2 linked regions of the Drosophila melanogaster genome follow. The protein of the gene in region 1 interacts with the protein of each later gene in a biochemical or structural test. Each region holds a gene or a part of one and is shown on either strand. Other genes may lie near its edges. The genes, in order: btd and Taf4.

The links.
Region 2: the proteins of btd (region 1) and Taf4 form a complex in vitro, tested with the Drosophila melanogaster proteins (one study listed by BioGRID).

The regions. Positions count from the first base shown.
Region 1 is NC_004354.4:9,692,595-9,698,369, forward strand, and holds btd (buttonhead), read left to right. Parts: upstream 1-1,591; 5' UTR 1,592-2,079; coding exon 2,080-2,813; intron 2,814-3,252; coding exon 3,253-4,453; 3' UTR 4,454-4,964; downstream 4,965-5,775. UniProt on the Drosophila melanogaster protein: Required for the development of the antennal, intercalary and mandibular segments of the head.
Region 2 is NT_037436.4:16,111,431-16,116,522, forward strand, and holds the start of Taf4 (TBP-associated factor 4), read left to right. Parts: upstream 1-1,781; 5' UTR 1,782-1,935; intron 1,936-2,359; exon of another isoform or gene 2,360-2,454; 5' UTR 2,455-2,711; intron 2,712-2,877; exon of another isoform or gene 2,878-2,881; 5' UTR 2,882-3,041; coding exon 3,042-3,413; intron 3,414-4,238; coding exon 4,239-4,400; intron 4,401-4,601; coding exon 4,602-5,092. Other genes in the region: Zn72D (Zinc-finger protein at 72D), read right to left, coding at 1-439. UniProt on the Drosophila melanogaster protein: TFIID is a multimeric protein complex that plays a central role in mediating promoter responses to various activators and repressors.

The sequences.
Region 1 (5,775 bases):
ATGGGTAGCTTAAGAGTCGAGATGCACTTCCGTGAGCTTGTTCCGTTTTGGGAGTCATCATTATCTTTTCACAGCAGCAGCAAGTCGTAAAATTTGTGGCTCAGACCCACGTTGCGTATGCGTAATAAAAAAGACGCCGCGTAATAAAAAGGGAGCGAAAACAACAACAGCAACAGCAATTGTGATTAATATGCGGCACACAAGCATACACAAACGCACGCACACACGAAACGGGCGCAGGCCATGCGAGAGAGAGAGAGCGAAGGAGAGAGCTGCTGTCTCTTTTGTGGTGGTGTTTGGTCAACGCCCCTTTAAATACAGTTATTTCATTGGGCCGCGACCACAAATTTATTAGTTTTTATTGTTATTGTATTGATATTTGAATTATGCACGCTCCCTCTTCGTCTTCTAACGTTACTTTTTATCATTGGGATCCTCTGGAGAAAAATGCCATTAAACAGAAATTTTAATTTAATTAAAGTGATGAGCCATACTTCTTTCTCTCTGTCTGCTTACTTTCATCGAAACAAATTGATGGTCTGAGTGGGCAAGGGGATAATGAGAATTTAAGCAGATATTCGTGCTTTTAATGACGGTACTTGAAATGTGTAAAATGTCGAGTAATTTATGGGCATTAAAAATCGGTCGGATATATGTAACAATACCTATATTTTGTGTGTACTTAAGGTTTATATGAGAAATTTAAATGTTTAAAATTGAAAATAAAAACTAAATTTGTAGTTAGAAACTATCTCTAAGTTAGCAGACTTAAAAAAAATTAATACAATTTTTCTAAAATATTTGCTAAGCTCTTTATTTTGAATTGCAAAGGATACGTGAATACGTTATTTATTTTATACACATTTTGAGGGGTTGATAGGGTTAAAATAAACATAAATTATGGAATATATAGATTAACCAACTAAATAATAAAATATTTCAAATACTTCACTAATCAAATATTTCAAATACTTCACTAAAAATGCTAATAATGTAAATTATTTACACATATTCTTAAATACAAACTTTGCATTAAATTTAAGCCAACATTTTTGGCTTAAAGTTTAGATATAACCAACAATAACAACAAATATAAGCATTTTGAGCACTAGCTGAAACGACAACAACAACAGCAACAACAAAACGCATGCTCACCCAATTGCTTTGACACACAAACCCACACATAGAAATTAAAACAAAACGCCCGCGGCAGCAGCGCCAGCAATAACAACACTGCAACAGCAACGTGGAGAGAGAGCACCATACCGCAAGAGCGAAAGAGAGAGAGAGAGTGAGCTAGCTACGGAGAGTGGCTGCTGCTGCCGGGAGTGACACTTCCGCGCCACACGTGCAAGCGAGACGAAGCGAGTTGCCCCGAAGGCACACCGTTGCGGCCAAAAACAACCACCATGATGGTGCCGAGAGCGAGAGAGAGCGAGAGCTGGCTCAGCGCTCAGTGGCGATAGACGAGTGCGAGAATGTGACAGCACGAGCAGCAGCAGCGCTGCCGCTGCCCTCTGCCCGCGCCTCTGCCCGCAGCCAAGTGGATTCGTTTTGTACGTTGTTAGACTCTCTCGCCGCGTTTTGGAATTCAGTCGACAATCGACGATAATTACCGGTGGTTGTATCACATCACATCACGCGCAGCAGCAGCAGCACTACGAACGAAAGAAGAAGAAGCAGAAGAGCCAGCCGCAGTGGCAGCAGAGAAACTCGCTCGTTTTCGGATCTATATATATATATATGCATATAGATTTGTATATATAGAGGGATATATATATATATATATTTGCACGCAGCATTGGCGAATTTTCGGCCGCCTTTAATTTGTTTGTGTTTTTTCCGTGTTCTCCTCCGCGTGCTCGCAATTACGTGCGCGGCAGCAAAAGACTATAATTATAAAACTAAAGTGAAAAGCGTGCCATAATTACACGAGCGAATATCAATAAGTGCAAGAGCAATGTGCGAAAATTGTTAACGAACGCAGTAGCAACCAGAAGCAGTAAAACGCAGCAGCAATCGCAGCAGTAGGATCCAAACAAATCTCAGCGCAACATTAAAATCGCAAGCGTTTTCAACATGATCGATGCGGCCTGCAATTACTTAAATCCCTATGCGCAACAGCATCAGGCGCAGCAGCAGCAACATGCGCAACATCAGCAACACGCGCAACAACAGCAACATCATCTGCACATGCAGCAGGCGCAACATCATCTGCACTTGTCGCATCAGCAGGCGCAACAGCAGCATATGCAACACTTGACACAGCAACAGCAGCAGCAGCAACAACAACAGCAGCAACAGCAGCAGCAACAGCAGCAACAACAACAGCCGCAACAGCAGCAACATGACTTCCTCAGCGCCGCCGCCCTGCTGTCCGCCCCACCATCCCTATCCGGCTCGAGTTCCGGCTCCAGCTCCGGCAGTTCTCCGCTATATGGAAAGCCGCCAATGAAGCTGGAACTGCCGTATCCACAGGCCTCATCCACGGGCACCGCATCGCCCAACTCCAGCATACAATCGGCGCCATCATCGGCCTCCGTGTCGCCCAGCATCTTCCCATCACCTGCCCAGTCATTCGCCTCCATTTCGGCTAGTCCATCCACGCCCACCACGACCTTGGCGCCACCAACAACGGCGGCAGCGGGCGCCCTAGCGGGATCACCCACATCCTCCTCACCATCCTCGTCAGCAGCATCGGCTGCAGCGGCGGCAGCAGCAGCTGCGGCGGCAGCAGCGGACCTTGGAGCAGCGGCGGTCGCCAGTGCCGCCTACGGCTGGAATACCGCCTACTCCGGATTGGGGCCAGCGAGGTAAATATCCCTATATATAGGATTTACAGAAGTTGAGTTGGGAATCATTCGTAAGAAAGAAACTTTAAAATGCTAGTGATCAATAAATCAAAGCTTATAGATCATCAAATTTGTGGTTATTAGGGATACACTAATTTCGATCTGAATTAGATCTCCTTTTAATAGAATAACTACAGGCTGATTGTATTTCGATCATGAGCGAGATAAAGACATATATCTTTTGCAAATTATACAGTTTAATACATAGGAATATATTAATCAAATTATCCCGAAGATTGAAATGGATTAGCATACAAATAATCTCATAAACTTATAAAATGATAGGTACCACTTGAATACATTACAATTTAGTATTCCGATAGCAGGTGTACCCATTAAGTAAATGATTAAAAAAAACCAAATTAACCATTCTCTGTCTTCATTTCTTTTCTCCATCTAGAAGTCAGTTTCCATATGCCCAGTACGCCTCCGATTATTACGGCAATGCGGTGGGCATGTCCTCCTCGGCCGCTTGGTTCTCGCATCAGGAGCGCCTCTATCAGCCATGGAGTTCACAGAGCTATCCGGGCTTCAATTTCGACGACATCGCCTTCCAGACGCAATTGCAACGCCGCTCCGTTCGCTGCACGTGTCCCAATTGCACCAACGAGATGAGCGGCCTGCCACCGATTGTGGGTCCGGATGAGCGCGGACGCAAGCAGCATATCTGCCACATTCCGGGCTGCGAACGGCTATACGGTAAGGCGTCGCATCTGAAGACCCACCTGCGCTGGCACACCGGCGAGCGGCCCTTCCTGTGCCTCACGTGCGGCAAGCGTTTCTCCCGATCGGATGAGCTGCAGCGGCACGGACGTACGCACACCAATTACCGCCCGTATGCCTGCCCCATTTGCTCCAAGAAGTTTTCGCGCAGCGATCACCTCAGCAAGCACAAGAAGACCCATTTCAAGGACAAGAAGAGCAAGAAGGTATTGGCCGCCGAGGCCAAGGAGCAGGCGGCTGCGGCGATAAAGCTGGAAAAGAAGGAGAAGAAGTCGGGTAAGCCACTGACGCCACCCGTGGAATTCAAGCAGGAGCAGCCGGATACGACACCGCTGGTCAACTATGCGCCCTATGCCAATCTCTATCAGCATTCCACATCCGCCGGATCGAGTGTGAATCCTCCGCCGCCACCGCCGCCGCTCTTCCAGCAGCAGATGACGACGACAACATCATCGGCGGCGGCCAGCTTTGTGGAGCAGCCGTGGAGCAGTAGCAGCAGCCGTGCCATACAACCAGCCACTACCTCAGCCAGTTCATCCTCATCCTCCAGCGCCAGTTCCCCAGCGGCAGCGGTCGTTTCTGCCATTGGATCTGCATCTTCCCCAGCCGCATCAGCCACGGCGCTGGCCCAGCATCATTATGCCGCACTTGCCATGCAAAGTGAGTCCCAGCTGGCGGCGGAATATGGGCTAACCATGAGCGGATTGGCCAGCGGAGCTAGCCAGGATTCCAGCTCCAGTTGCCACATGAAGTCCGAGTATGCGGCCAGTTATCCGGCTGATTTTGGTGCGGGAACAGCCAGTTACGGTTATCCGCATCCACATCCGCACCATCACAATGCGTGGGCAGCGGCCTATCATCCACATGCCACCGCCTAGGATGTCCCCGATCCTTCCCAAAATTGTTACAGTTGAAAGTTGATGAAACAAATGCCATAATGTCCCAAAACCCAGAACGGCAACAAAGCAAGCGTAGAACGAAAATCTAGTGTGTGTTTTTTTTTCAGTGTTTATTGTTGATATAAAAATATAATGTGAAAATCAAAAAAAAATTTGAATTCACAAAATACCGTATAAGGCATTATATAATATTATATAAATATATATATATATATATACATACACATATATTAACTATACATGTAGAGACTAGAACTTGAATTTTTTTCATTTTTTTTCCCCCAATCTAGTAGCTAAGGCATTTTTTTTTGCATGTCTGTACATACAAACATATATAGCGTTCTTTTTAAGCCATACCATATAGAATGAGAGAAACCATCTAGTTGTGTACCATAATAATTGTTAATTGTCTTTAAGATAAATTATATACAACAACAAAAAGTGAAAAATCCAAGGCGACAAAATCCCCACACTGAAATGAAATCCTAACAATAAAAAAAAAAAACGAACAAAATAATATCGGAAAACAAAGCGAATCCAGTTTTTTATTATTCTCTCCGATCCCGACGCACCCTTGTTAATGGGTTCCTGGCTTGGTTAGATTTCAGGGTTGTTTGATCTCCGCCAGGGGTTGCTTTCTTGCATATAAATCGAGGGATCCAGGAAGCTTCCCGACTTCCGGCGAACTTGATCTGCTTTTGGGTGCTGACCTTTGGCGGTATTTGGATAATAATAGAAACTTTTTCAATAGCAATCATTATAGCTGTCTGCATTTCTAGTTATAATTTCATCAACGTCGGCCATCGCTTTAAAATTGCAAAAACATTGTTAGCTTGGGAGATGTACATCATTTATAGATTGCTTTACTTTAAAATGTGCATAAATAAAGGTACGAATGTGATATGTATATATCCTTAAATACAATGATTTATTTAGTCAAGATACACATAGTTGTAGAATTTCATAACAATCGGATGTGATTTAATAGTAGTTTTTCTCACTAAAAGCGGCTTACCACTTTTAGATCTCTTCAAGATTCCAGATCCCCGGTCCTTTTCCTAGCTGCGAAATTAATTTAATCCCATTTCCCGCAGCTCAGCATCTATACCCCACACCCACCCCCCTTACTTCAACTGGGGATCATAACTCACAAGGGGCACATATTCAATCTTTAGGCAACCAATGAGAGTCAATTTAGCTCGAGCGACTATCCCACTTTGGCCAGCCCAAAATGAATTGCCCAACACAGAGTTTATAATTAAACGGGAAACATTTTGTCCCAGCAGAATAAGGGGGGAGGG
Region 2 (5,092 bases), on another chromosome or scaffold:
CTGTATCATAGCCACTGTAATTGTTGCCCGCCGGAGGAGCCGAACTAGGGGGCTTGGGACCACCGTTCGACTTGTCCATCTTGCCCTTGACCTGATTCTTGACTGGCGGAGCCGAGTAGTGCGTCTTGCTGACCGAGGCTGTCGAACCGGAGGCGTTGTAGCTGGCCGGCGACTGCTGATAGAATGTCTTGGTGGCGTCGTATTGCATGGCACTTCGATAGTCGCCGTAGCCACCATAACCCCCCGCCCCAGGGCCAGAGGTGGCGCCAGCGCCCGCTCCTGCTGCTCCGCCATAACCACCCTGTCCGGCGGCCACAGCGGCATTCTGATAGGCGGCCGCATTCGCGTAGGTGGCATTGGTTACCGCCGGGTACGAGACTTGGCCCGTATTGTACTGGGTGCCGCCGTAGTTAAACCCGGCGTAGTTGTTGTTGGCCATTGTCGCGGTGCGCTGCAATTACGAAAATCGAATTTGTTTGACAATCTGTCTGCGGTTTACTAGTTTACCATTGGCATTTGCATTTGCATTTTGGACCTGCCCCCATCCCCACCAAGTGCTCTACTTACATTAGCTGTCCTATCCGACTGACTGTCAATATTTATGGGACTTCGAATGCGGATTTATTCGGGAATTTATATGTGCTTTCCGAGTAATAGCCTGTTTATAGCTGTAAAAGCAAAGTGGTCTTAGTCACGTCATGTTGAGAAAGGAGCTCCCCCCACCACTTTCCCATCCGTTTTTCATCTGCTTTTCTCTATCGATTTTTACCCCGCAGCTTTGGACGCACTTTTCGCGTGTCTGGCCCACATGCGAGTGAGCACACGTGGCGATCTCTTTTCCAACGGCATTTTAGCCCTAGTTGTGCATGGTTAAAAAACAGTTAATGCAAATGGCAATTACCTGAAATCGGTTAAATAAAATTTTTCTTCCGTCTCTATGGGCCGGTACTAGTGTGACCGCAGCGTAATCGGATAATCATACTATGTTGAGCCCGACTTGAAACAAATACCACTTTTTATTTTTGGAAGTTTTTGGAAAATATACCATTACACTATATATGTTGCTTATTTAACGGAATTTGTTTAATATTAAAATTGGTATGGTCTATTTTATTAAGACCGCTATTTGTACGATATGTATTTAACTCGCTCTACAGAATTATTTTGCCCGTTGTGCTGAAGTTTAGCATTTCAAAGATACCGAAAACTAACAAAAATACCATCACGTTGGTGGTGGGGCATGTAGTTCGGTATCAAAGTGGAACTATCGATTGTTTGACCGTTACAAAGTACTACTCCTTCGTTTGAATATATATATGATTTAAGTATATGAGCAAATAGCGTTTAAATATAAAAAAATAATAACATTTTTGAGCATTTTCTTCAATTCTGTAATTACCTAACATTCAGCTTTAAACAGTACTCTAATAATAGTTTTAGTAGTTTCTAATTTTTGAGCGTATTCTTCATTTATTCAATTACCTAACATTCAGCTTTAAACAGTACTCTAATAATAGTTCAAAGGATTTAAAATGTATCGTATTCGAATGTATTAAAATAAATTATTTTGATCCTTAAAAATTGTGGCTTATTACCCATATAAAAACTAATGAGCATATAATTAATTTGGTATGCGGCTAAAATCCGATGGCATCAAAATGCCAGCAAACGTTTTTGGTTTTGAAAATGTACGCAACAAGGCTATAAAAAATCGACATGATATCCAAGTCACTACTTCTTTTCTAGTATTTTAATTCGGTATCGCGTTTAACACGACGATATTGTCGCCAACGGTCACACTGCACAACTCGTCCGTACCTCGGCGGTCCGTAAACAATATTTACTCGGTTTTCGGCTAAATCGCCAGAGAAACGCAACGGGAAATCGTTTAAAATGCGCCCCAGTGCACCGAGTTTGAACGCAAAATGAATTGAAGTGAGTGCATCTGCCACAGGGCCCAGAAAATTTCCCCCGACATTGCAGGCTGTACAAAACCTATACTGAAACACACGCACACAGTCGCACAGACACGGACGTGGGTTTATGCCACCACCCGCTGGCCACTAAAGTAGAAATTACTAATACTACGGCTGGCACGATGCTCCATATTGCCACTGGAGACATGTACAAGATGCATTTGTTTTCTTTTTGTTTTAAATATTTTTATGCGGATTTTCGAAAAATATGAATTTTTCCTAATAGAAATCATCAATTATTAAGTGCTCCACTTTCGAGTTGAACTTTTTTTTAAATTTAGTGCATTCACGAATATTGCGCACTCGCCACCCGCATAAACGAGCGGCATTGCCAGATCGTTGGTTACGTGTTTTTCGCACGCTATCTGGCAACGTCCACCAGCCTCGATTTTCGCTTTGCACGCGCATTCGTGAAAATGGCGGCGTTCTGGCACCGTCGCTGCCAAATTTTTTGTACATCAAAATAATCAAAATAAAGCATTCTTCCAGTGCTCAACAATCAGTCCGTGCGAGCACGCGCGAGTGTGTGTGTGCGCAGGAAAACCCGCCGATCGGGAAAAGTGTAGAAAGGCTTAGCGGCGCAAACAAAAGGCAGCGAATTAGCGAGATAACACACACGCGACAACGACTGCAACGGATGCGCCAGGAGAAAGGCCGACGACAGTGACGGCAAAGGCGAGTGCGAGTGAGCCAGCGCAGCACCAATTCAGCGGAGCACCCGCTTTTTTGGCCAAGGTGAATGCGATTACCTGTGCGCGGCATCCAGGTGTACGCAGCATCTGGTTTATGGCGCACGGCCGCCAGGTAGCCGGCGGTCAGGTAGCACCTCCACCGCCTACCTGTTTCTCCACCGCCTCGAGCCGAATCTTGTATAAATACTAAAAGCGCCTCCCCTTGCATTGCAGTTCGCTTCTGGAGCGCACAGCATGCAACAACTCCGCCAACACCAACACAGGATGTGCGCAACTAGTTGATCGGAACAGGATCGCTCGCCCACACCAACACACAGAAGTCAGTGGAATAGGAGAAACACACTCGCCAATAACATAAACACCACACAGCACGATGAACACCAGCCAGACAGCTGCCGGCAATCGCATCACCTTCACCAGCCAGCCGCTGCCCAATGGCACCATCAGCATAGCCGGCAATCCCGGCGCGGTCATCTCCACGGCCCAGCTACCGAATACCACCACCATCAAGACGATCCAGGCGGGGATCGGTGGTCAGCATCAGGGACTTCAGCAGGTGCATCATGTCCAACAGCAGCAGCAGTCGCAACAGCAACAACAGCAGCAACAGCAGACGCAATCCGTAGGTGCCACCCAAACACAAACCCTAGTTATTAAATCCAACCACCATGCTGTCACCCTGCCGGCGGGTCTAGTCTCAAGTGCACCAGCAGGAATCGTAACCATGACCAAGACCATCAATCAGGTATCCATATTAAAGCTAAACCCACTCTTCGGGCGCTAGGCGATCGCAACTCGGGCGTATCACTTCGTCCAAATCTGATCCCCAATCAAAACCCCCTCAATTCCTCGCTCGAATCGGATAGTAGTGGCCGCACACACTTTGGTTGTATACTTTTATTATGCTTTCATCTGTCTACCTCGCTGCCCGAAATTCCCATATCCTTATCCAAATGGGGTTAGTCCCAGGCTTGATAACGTATTTTACGCTTAAAAAATATCCTTAATTCATTAATGTGAAATCTGAAACTTATATCTGAGTTGAAATCTGAAACTTATATCTGAGTTTGTTGCACTCATTTTTGTACTTTTATTTAAAATTAATTTCTTTTTTTACGAATGTCATATCAATTCACTTCATTAGAACTTAAAGCAGTTTAATCACCATAAAAGACATATCTTTAATTTGAAATACTTTATCCCAATGCCGAAAAGTTTCCCAAAGATCAAATCCCTAACAACTGTTCAAAAACACGCACTTGTTCAACAGAAACCTTATTCTACACCAATATCCAAACCATTACATTTGTAGAACTATTGCTTTCAATGCTCGCTTTAAATAGAACAAGATATAGTAGATTATACGCCTTCAAATTTGGTTAGCACAGAGAGAATCAGTTAAACAACTTATTTCCGCACTAATTGGGGTCCTTTGCCGAGCCAACTGCTGCATGATGTAGGCTAATTTAGAATCCCGCAAAACCTCTTAATGCATCCTTTGGTCCAAATAGACTTTGAAAATGTGATGAGATGAATTGATAGACTAATGATAATGTTGCGTATTTGCCAGGCCGGTCAACCGCTGCTCAATTCAATGCTGCCGGCTGGCGTGGTGGTGGGCATGCGCCAACAGGCGCCGTCACAGCAGCAGCAGAAGAATGTGCCCACCAACCCGCTCAGTCGCGTGGTGATCAACTCCCACATGGCGGGCGTGAGACCGCAGAGTCCATCGGTGAGTATGAAGGATAATATTGCTATTACTATGGTTGTTGTGGTGGGTTCTTCCCTACTAACTCACAGAGCTCCCTAACCCAGCCACGCTCCTCACAAACACGCATGTGCACAGCCCACCATTCACTCACACCATACACCATACACACCATGCTCCAGCAGATGAAAACCGAGTCTCTCTGTCTTCTCTCTCTACTTTTAGATAACTTTAAGCACACTTAATACGGGTCAGACCCCGGCATTGCTGGTCAAGACGGATAACGGATTCCAGCTGTTGCGCGTGGGCACGACGACGGGTCCGCCGACGGTGACACAGACTATAACCAACACCAGCAATAACAGCAACACGACAAGCACCACAAACCATCCCACAACCACACAGATCCGTCTGCAAACTGTGCCGGCTGCAGCTGTAAGTAGATACCAACAACAACAACAACATCAGCAGCAATCGCAACAGCAGCAACAATCGCAACAGCAGCAACATGCAACCAGCACAACCGCCAGCACTAGTATTGCACTGCGCAAAACGATTGTCCGTACATCATCCACAGTCCCATCCAGCAATAATAACAATAATAGTATCAATGCCACCACCAACACCACCACCACCACCACTACCAACAACAACAACAAACCCGCTACTAACCAGCAACAGCAGCAGCAGAAGCTCCAACAGCAGCAACATCTGAA